Ovis aries: one gene and its partner. The protein of the gene in region 2 binds, or shares a complex with, the protein of the main gene of each other region. Links are inferred from orthologs where the notes say so. Each region holds a gene or a part of one and is shown on either strand. Other genes may lie near its edges.

Evidence for each region.
Region 1: the proteins of BCAR1 (region 2) and SH2D3C are in contact, whole or in part, in a crystal structure (PDB 3T6G), measured with the Homo sapiens proteins. The link is inferred for Ovis aries from reciprocal best matches to the Homo sapiens genes BCAR1 and SH2D3C. Residues at the interface, in NP_055382.2 of Homo sapiens: Ser739, Gln742, Phe746, Tyr747, Gln750, Asn754, Val779, Ser782, Lys783, Ile786, Leu787, His790, Val793, Phe794, Ile795, Asp797, Thr798, Arg801, Gln802, Ser816, Asn817, Cys820, Leu823, Arg824, Val827, Lys831; in NP_733745.1 of Homo sapiens: Thr543, Val544, Pro545, Val547, Gly616, Val617, Arg618, Glu622, Thr625, Leu626, Pro627, His628, Leu749, Leu752, Leu753, His771, Gly772, Val773, Glu774, Val776, Leu777, Leu780, Glu781, Ala783, Arg784, Ala787, His788.

What each region holds. Positions count from the first base shown.
Region 1 is NC_056056.1:8,464,478-8,468,280, reverse strand, and holds part of SH2D3C (SH2 domain-containing protein 3C), read right to left. Parts: intron 3,016-3,803; coding exon 2,891-3,015; intron 1,429-2,890; coding exon 893-1,428; intron 1-892. UniProt on the Homo sapiens protein: Acts as an adapter protein that mediates cell signaling pathways involved in cellular functions such as cell adhesion and migration, tissue organization, and the regulation of the immune response.
Region 2 is NC_056067.1:2,063,218-2,067,020, reverse strand, and holds part of BCAR1 (breast cancer anti-estrogen resistance protein 1), read left to right. Parts: intron 1-896; coding exon 897-1,058; intron 1,059-1,217; coding exon 1,218-1,334; intron 1,335-2,330; coding exon 2,331-3,428; intron 3,429-3,803. UniProt on the Homo sapiens protein: Docking protein which plays a central coordinating role for tyrosine kinase-based signaling related to cell adhesion. Implicated in induction of cell migration and cell branching. Involved in the BCAR3-mediated inhibition of TGFB signaling.

The DNA of each region.
Region 1 (3,803 bases), on a different chromosome or scaffold from region 2:
GAGAGCTTTATCTAGCAGGGCAGCCTGGCTGGGAAGCCGGCTTTGAATTCCAGGTTTATGACTAACCCTCTGACATGGAGCAAATGAGTTTCACTCTCCCCATCTATGAAACGCAAGATAAATGGGAAAATGCCCAGTGGGGTCTGACATGTGCCAGAGGTGCCCAGGACACTCTTATTCCAGAAGAAATAAGGTCCAGGGAGGGAAAGGGCTTGTCCTACATCACACACTGGACCTAGAACCCAGGGCTTCTTCCTTCATGCCTAGCACTCTTCACAGCGCCACATCTCAGCACTGTTTCTTGTCTTTCTTCTTGAGCTCAGAGACAAGTGTGACCAAATAATCAGTGTTCCCCTCCCCAATACGCACACACACACACACACCAAACTTCAGAGGGAGAAACTGAGGCGTAGATCAAGTTAGGGTCCTTAGATGGGCAGGATTCATTCAAAGCAAAGGCTCAGGCATTAACAATTTATGGACCTAGACAATGAGTTTTGTCCACTAGGTGGGTGGGGGTGGGGAGTCCAGCCTCTTATAGTCCCTGGACCGGCCAAACTGACTCTCACCGAGCTCAAAAAGTGTCCTAGGGAGCCAGACACCACTAGTTTTCAGGACTCCTCAGTTCCAGTGCCAAACTGACATCTGGAGGAAGCAAGAATATCTCCGCTTTTGCTTTTTTTTTTTTTTTTTCCAAGGGGAAAATGGGAGCCCAGAGAGGTAAAGTGCTTAGTCAGAGGCACACAGCGAGTAAAGGGCAGCCGTGAAGTTAGGATCCAGGACCAGTCGCTCTACTTAGGGATGTGGGGGTCAGCTCCTCACCACCCTGACCCCTGTCCCAAAGCCAAAGGACAGAGGTATACCCCTGCCCCAGTGCGCACCCAGCACCTACCAGGCAGTCAACCTTGGTGACGTGCCGGGCCAGTGTCCGGGCATCGACCTCTGCCAGCAGCTCCTTGACCTTACGCAGGAGGCCCACCTCCAGTGGCCGGTTATCCTTGGGGATCAACAGTGACTGGAAGGTAGCCGGGTTAAAGGAAGAGGTGGCTTCCACAACAGGGACTGTGAAGGTTCTGCCCCAGTCCCCTTCGGGGGCCCCATTTTCTGACAGTTCCTTAAGCTTTTCCCCATAGCTTCTGGCCTGGCGGCCAGAGGCTTCAGCTGCCACCCACTCTCGGCTGCCACGGACAGGAGGCTGGAGCTGGCAGTAATGGCCAGAGTCCGGGTCACTGTAGCTGCTGAGCGATGGTGATGGGGAGGCCTTGCAGAGGGTGTGGGAGGGGCTGGAGTAAGGGCCCTTGTCCGACTCCCCGTGGGGCTTTGGGGCACTTCCGGGACACAGCTGGGGTTCGCTGGAGCGGCGCGTGACAGGGGAGGCGGGCAGCGCTGTGGCGGAGGGGGCGGCAGGGGCGGCGTGGACACGGGTCACTGCAGGGAAATAAAGACAGACAACTAGTTACCATGACTCCCTAGCCAGTGTGGTTCCCCCACCGCTTTCCCAGAGGACAAGCTCCACCCACCCTACAGGGCTAATATCCTACCTCCCTGCACCCAGGCCAGGCCCAGCTGACGCTGGCACATTGACCAGCCCTCAGTGATATTCTCAAATTCCCTGGACCCCGGGGGGTCAGACTTTCTTACCCTAAGGCTGCTGCAGCCTTGGGGAACCACTGAGCTACTTGAAGGAGCTTTCTGTGATTCAGAGAAGCTAAGCACTTGCTGGAGTTCACTGTGTGGAATCATTTCTCAATGAATTAATAATAAGGATTTATTGAGGACATGTGTTCTGGGAGCTGGTGACATGCTGGAGCTACACCGGTCAAAACAGTAAAACCATCATCCAAAATTAGAGGTGATGTTTATTGAGTTCTAACTGCCTGCGAGATCCTTCTCCGCCCCTTAATCTGTTTAACCCTCTCAACATCCTGTGCATGAGTACTTTTATGATCCTCATTCTACAGATGAGAAAAGTTAGACTCAGAGAAGCCAGCTGACCTGCCTAAGGTCACCCAACCGGCAAAGGGTAGAGCTGGGATTCAAAACCAGGTGTCGAATCCTCACTCCTGGGTACTTCCCTGTGCCACATTGCTTAGAAGTTGTCCAATAAATAATTTGTGGCACAGCGTCTTAACATTTACACTCAGCGGTGTTGTTTGGAAGGCAAGTTGGCAGTTACGACAAGCTGGCGGGCCCATGGTTAGAGAAGAATTTGTGACAACCCATATGGACAGCTACATGGCAACAGGGCATTTCCCAGCAAAGGTTCCCCTGGGCTGACCCTCTGCACGCTTTGCCTGCCATGTGGACAATATGTGGTATGGCCTGTTGAAAACATTATTTTTTTTCTTCCAGAAATGAACATGTTTCATTCAGTAGTGGCATGTTTCTACAGTAGAAATAATTGTATTTTTTAAAAAGTGTACAGTGCTCTCTGCTTTCTGCTCAATTTTGCTGTGAATGTAGAACTTCTCTGAAAAGATCTATTTAAAAGAAAAAATAAATAAATAAAGCAAGCTTGACCAGTCCAGTTGAATCCCACCATTTGGAATCAGGGATACATTAAATCCCAGGCAATACAGGGCCTGGTCAAGTGGCTCCTCACTTGTTACCAGACTCAGTAACATTCAAGAGAATGCATGGAAACCACATCCACGGTGCCTGGTATCCAACAGGGACTCAATGAATTGTTGCAGAATGAACCAGCCATGGCTATGTTTTGCATGTCAACATGGATCGTTTTAGTATCCACTGTTGCAGGGCATGTCTCTCAGATAAGAGGAAGAAGCACACAGGATCAAACACTGTAATGGAAATCGTCAGACAGTGCACATGTGGGCACACGAGGCCACTCCCACCAGACCCCCCATGTGCCCCCCTCCACTGGCCATACCGGTACTATAGGCAGGGGAGCTGGGGCTCTCGGAGATGGGAGACATGGGCGAGTGCAGGTCTTGGATCTGGTCCATGCTGAGTGCACAGTTGCGGATGGATTCCCGAGGGTGGGGCAGTGATGTGCTGTGGAGCAGACACCTTCATGAGCAAGGAGCCCAGAGGTCAGGGTCCTCAGCTAGCATTAGGACCCCCACCTCTGCCTCCATCCTAGATCTGCTGAACTTCAGAGGCAGAAAAGGCTTAGAAATGATCACATCCAACCTCCCACCTGGCAGGTACAAAAATTGAAGCCCAGAGGAGGAAGGACTTGTTCAGTCTACAACCTGTACAACTGTTCTCTTCCCTGGGAACCTTGCCCCCAACTTGGAGAATGGCCTGGGGAGAGAGGTTAGCAAGAAAGATGGCCAGGCCAAGGGAGCCAAACCCACCATCCTGGTCTCTCCTCACTGATCCCACACTATTACTCAGGATGCCTTGGGCACACATGGCTTATAGATCCTGGCACTGTTTTATCACTGGTTCCAAACCACAGGCCAAGTGGTTACTCCCCACAGGGTATCCAACCAGCAGTTCCTTGGCTGACAGCACGCAGTCCAGGCCCAGGGAAATGGGACCTATCGAAGTGCTGAAGCAAGCACGTGAGTGCTAAGTCGCTTCATTCATAACTGACTCTTTGTGACCCTATGGAATGTAGCCCGCCAGGTTTCTCTGTCCATGGGATTCTCCAGGCAAGAATACTGGAGTGGGTTGCCATTTCCCACTCCAGGGGATCTTCCTGACCCAGGGATCGAACCTGCATCTCTTATGTCTGCCTGCATTGGCAGGCAGGTTCTTTACCACTAGCACCACCTGGGAAGCCCCAAAAGATGGCACGTCTTGCTGCAAACAGCAAGGGAAGCCATAGAAACTAG
Region 2 (3,803 bases):
TGATTAGGGATCAGAAGGGCGTTTTGTCAAGAGGGGTGAGCTGGGAGCCGTGTGGAGGAAGTGTGCCCGTGCCCGGTCAGCAGATCCGGGGCCCACCAGTCCCGCAGGGCCGGTGCCCCACAGGGGGGGCTGCCTGCCAGCTCGCCCAGGGAAGAGCACCGGGAGGGGAGACCTCCCAGCCGAGGCCTTGTGCTTTCGGGTGCGTGGAGGCTGGTCTCTGCAGCCCCGGGGGTGTGGTGCTGTGGGAGCAGGGCTCCTGGTTCCGGTCTCCATCCTTCCTCACACCCACACACAACTTGCCAGAACAGCCTCTGTCCTGCTGTTTGCAGTAGAACTGGCTCTGGGCGCTGGGAGTTCTCAGTGGCCCCTTCCCAGGAGTCCCCCAGGGGTGTGGGGGACAAGGAGGGCGGGGAGGCCCCAGGCCCTGACCCCCAGGATCCCCTGCAGGCCCCCTCCTCCTCCCGCCTGGCACCATCCCCCCTCATTGTCTGGAGCCGGAAAGTGGCTGCCGGGCCCTCTGGTGGGGACAGCCCTGCAGGCAGGCCGCCCTGTGGACAGCACTGCTGTGAGGCGCCATCGGCAGGGGCACCCCGGGCAGGGGCGGCCCCCTCCTCAGCCCACGTGTAGGTGCCTCTGGAGCCTTGTGAGTCACTGGGCTGTGGACTCCTCTCCTGTGTCCTGCCACACCAGATGGCTGTCAGCCAACAGTGGGGTCCTTGTAGTCCTCGCGCGCTGCTTCATTGACGGGAAGGCGAGGACTACGAGGGACGTGCACACCCTCTGCTCTGGGGGCCCCTCGCGTGTGTTCTGCTCACGTCAGGCGGTGGCATCTCCCTGAGGGGGTCATGGAGGCTGGTCTCCAGGGCTGGAGGTGACGGGTGGCTGTCTGCCCGCAGGTGGTAGTGCCCACCCGTGTGGGGCAGGGCTACGTGTTCGAGGCCCCCCCTCCCGAGCAGGACGAGTATGACATCCCGCGCCACCTGCTGGCCCCCGGGCCCCAGGACATCTACGACGTGCCCCCCGTGCGTGGGCTGCTGCCTGGCCAGTGCAGCCAGGAGGTGGGTGTCTGGGCTGGTGGCGGGGTCCCATCCTCCCCCTGCCCAGGGTGCTGTGCTGTCCAGGCCCGGCCGGGGAGGCCCTGGGGTGCAGCTTGGGGTCCACCTCCCTGCCCTCAGGTGGCCCTGGCCCCTGCATTACTGCACCTCTCCTGCCCTCAGGTATACGACACACCCCCCATGGCCGTCAAGGGTCCCAATGGCCGGGACCCCTCGCTGGATGTGTACGACGTGCCCCCCAGTGTGGAGAAGGGCCTGCTGCCAGCCAGCCACCACGCGGTGAGCATGGAGGGTTTGCTGCAGCTGCACAGGGTGCTGGGTGTGACTGTGTGCGCCCTGCGGCGGGGGCCTGCAGAGCAGGGGCTCCAGAGACCTGCCTCCAGGACCTCTGTGATGGGGGTGGAAACCAGCCGCCCCTCCGAGCCTCGGCTTCCTCATCAGGGAAGGGGTCCTTCCTCTGCAGGGCGTTCTCCAGGAGGTTCTTGAGAGGGTCACATGGGATGGCAGGGGGACCACAGCATGCACCGTCCAAACGGGGATTCTTCTCAGAGTGCGAGGAGGAGGATGAATAATTAGAAGGGGCCTCGGGCGTGAACCAGGACTGTCCTGGGCAAACCAGGGCATCAGCACCCTGAGTACAGCACGCAGGTGGCTCAGCCACCTACTAATATCTGCCGTAAAGAACCCGCCTGCCAATACAGGAGACGTAAGAGGTGCAGGTTGGATACCTGGGTCAGGAAGATCCCCTGGAGGAGGGCATGGCAACCCACTCGAGTATTCTTGCCTGGAGAATCCCAGGGACAGAGGAGCCTAGAGGGCTACAGTCCATGGGGTCACAAAGAGTCGGATACGACCAAGAGACAAAGAGTAGAGATAGAGTAGAAAATACCCCCGTGGTGGTGGTACTGAAGGTCGGGGTGGTAGTGGTGTGATAGCTGACCTCTCCCTGCGTGTTTGCAGTTATACAGAGAATTAAATCGTGTAGTCCTCACAATAAACCCGTGAGGGCGTTCTCTCCTAGGCCAGCGTACAGGCACAGAGAGGTGCACCCAGCGCCTGAGGTCACACAGCTAGTAAGTGGTGGGGCCGGGATTTTGAGCTCTGGTCTGGCCCCAGAGTCGAGCTCTGAAGCATAACCTGCAGGAAGAATTGCGGCCCTCGAGCGCAGGGCTGTGTGTGCACAGATGCCTGGGTCCACCCGTAGGTCCGGGGTGGGGGGTGGGGGGGGGGGGGGGGCAGGTGGACGGGCAGCCGTGACCGCTTCTCGGCCCCCAGGTGTACGATGTCCCTCCCTCGGTGAGCAAGGACGTGCCCGACGGCCCCCTGCTGCGTGAGGAGACCTACGACGTGCCCCCCGCCTTCGCCAAGGCCAAGCCCTTCGACCCAACCCGCCACCCGCTGGTCCTAGCCGCGCCCCCTCCGGACTCCCCGCCGCCCGAGGAGGTGTACGACGTGCCGCCCCCGGCCCCCGACCTCTACGACGTGCCCCCAGGCTTGCGGCGGCCCGGCCCCGGCGCCCTCTACGACGTGCCCCGGGAGCGGCTCCTGCCCCCTGAGGCGGCCAGCAGCGGCGCGGCAGACGCCGGCGTGTACTCGGTGCCTCCTGCGGCCGAGCGGGAGGCCCCGGCCGATGCCAAGCGCCTGTCGGCCTCGAGCACCGGCAGCACCCGCAGCAGCCAGTCGGCCTCCTCCCTGGAGGCGGCGGTGCCGGGCCGTGAGCCCCTGGAGCTGGAGGTGGCCGTGGAGGCCCTGACCCGCCTGCAGCAGGGCGTGAGTGCCACCGTGGCCCACCTCTTGGACCTGGCAGGCAGCGCAGGCGGGTGCGGGGGCCGGCGTGGGCCCCCCGAGCCTCAGGAGCCTCCAGCTGTGGACCTGCGGGCCGCCGTGGCCGCCGTCCACGCAGCCGTCCACGAGCTGCTGGAGTTCGCCCGCAGCGCGGTGGGCAACGCCACGCACACCTCCGACCGCACGCTGCACGCCAAGCTGAGCCGGCAGCTGCAGAAGATGGAGGATGTGTACCAGACGCTGGTGGCCCACGGCCAGGCCCTCGAGAGCGGCCGGGGAGGCCTGGGCGCCACCCCCGAAGACCTGGACCGCCTGGTGGCCTGCTCGCGGGCGGTGCCCGAGGACGCCAAGCAGCTGGCCTCCTTCCTGCATGGCAACGCCTCGCTGCTCTTCAGACGGACCAAGGCCTCTGTCCCAGGGCCGGAGGGGGGTGGCCCCCTGCACCCCACCCCCGCCGACAAGGCCAGCAGCATCCAGTCCCGGCCCCTGCCCTCGCCCCCCAAGTTCGCCTCCCAGGACTCTCCTGACGGGCAGTACGAGAGCGGCGAGGGGGGCTGGATGGAGGACTATGACTACGTGCACCTGCAGGTGGGTGCGCCCGGCCTGGGGAGGGCCCTGACCCCCAGCAGGCTTTCACGGCCAGGGGCAGGCATGGGGCCCGGCCAGGTCTTGGTGAGCCCCTGGGCGCTTCTCTTTTTCCAGGCCAGCCGGGCCCCTGGAGTCCCACCCTCCCTGTCTCAGGCCCTTGGACCCATGTGGCCGCACCTTCAGGGGTCCTGCAGCGCCCCCCAGGGATGGCTGCCAGTCACCTGCAAGGGCAGGGCTTGTCTGGCGCCTGCGCCTTGTCCTGTTTGGGGAGGTGAATCCTGAAGTGCAAGCAAAAGCAAAGATCCTAGCAGGAGAGGGAGAACAGCGAAGTGACGGACAGTGGGCCCGGCTGGGCCTTTGAATGGAGGCCCGGGT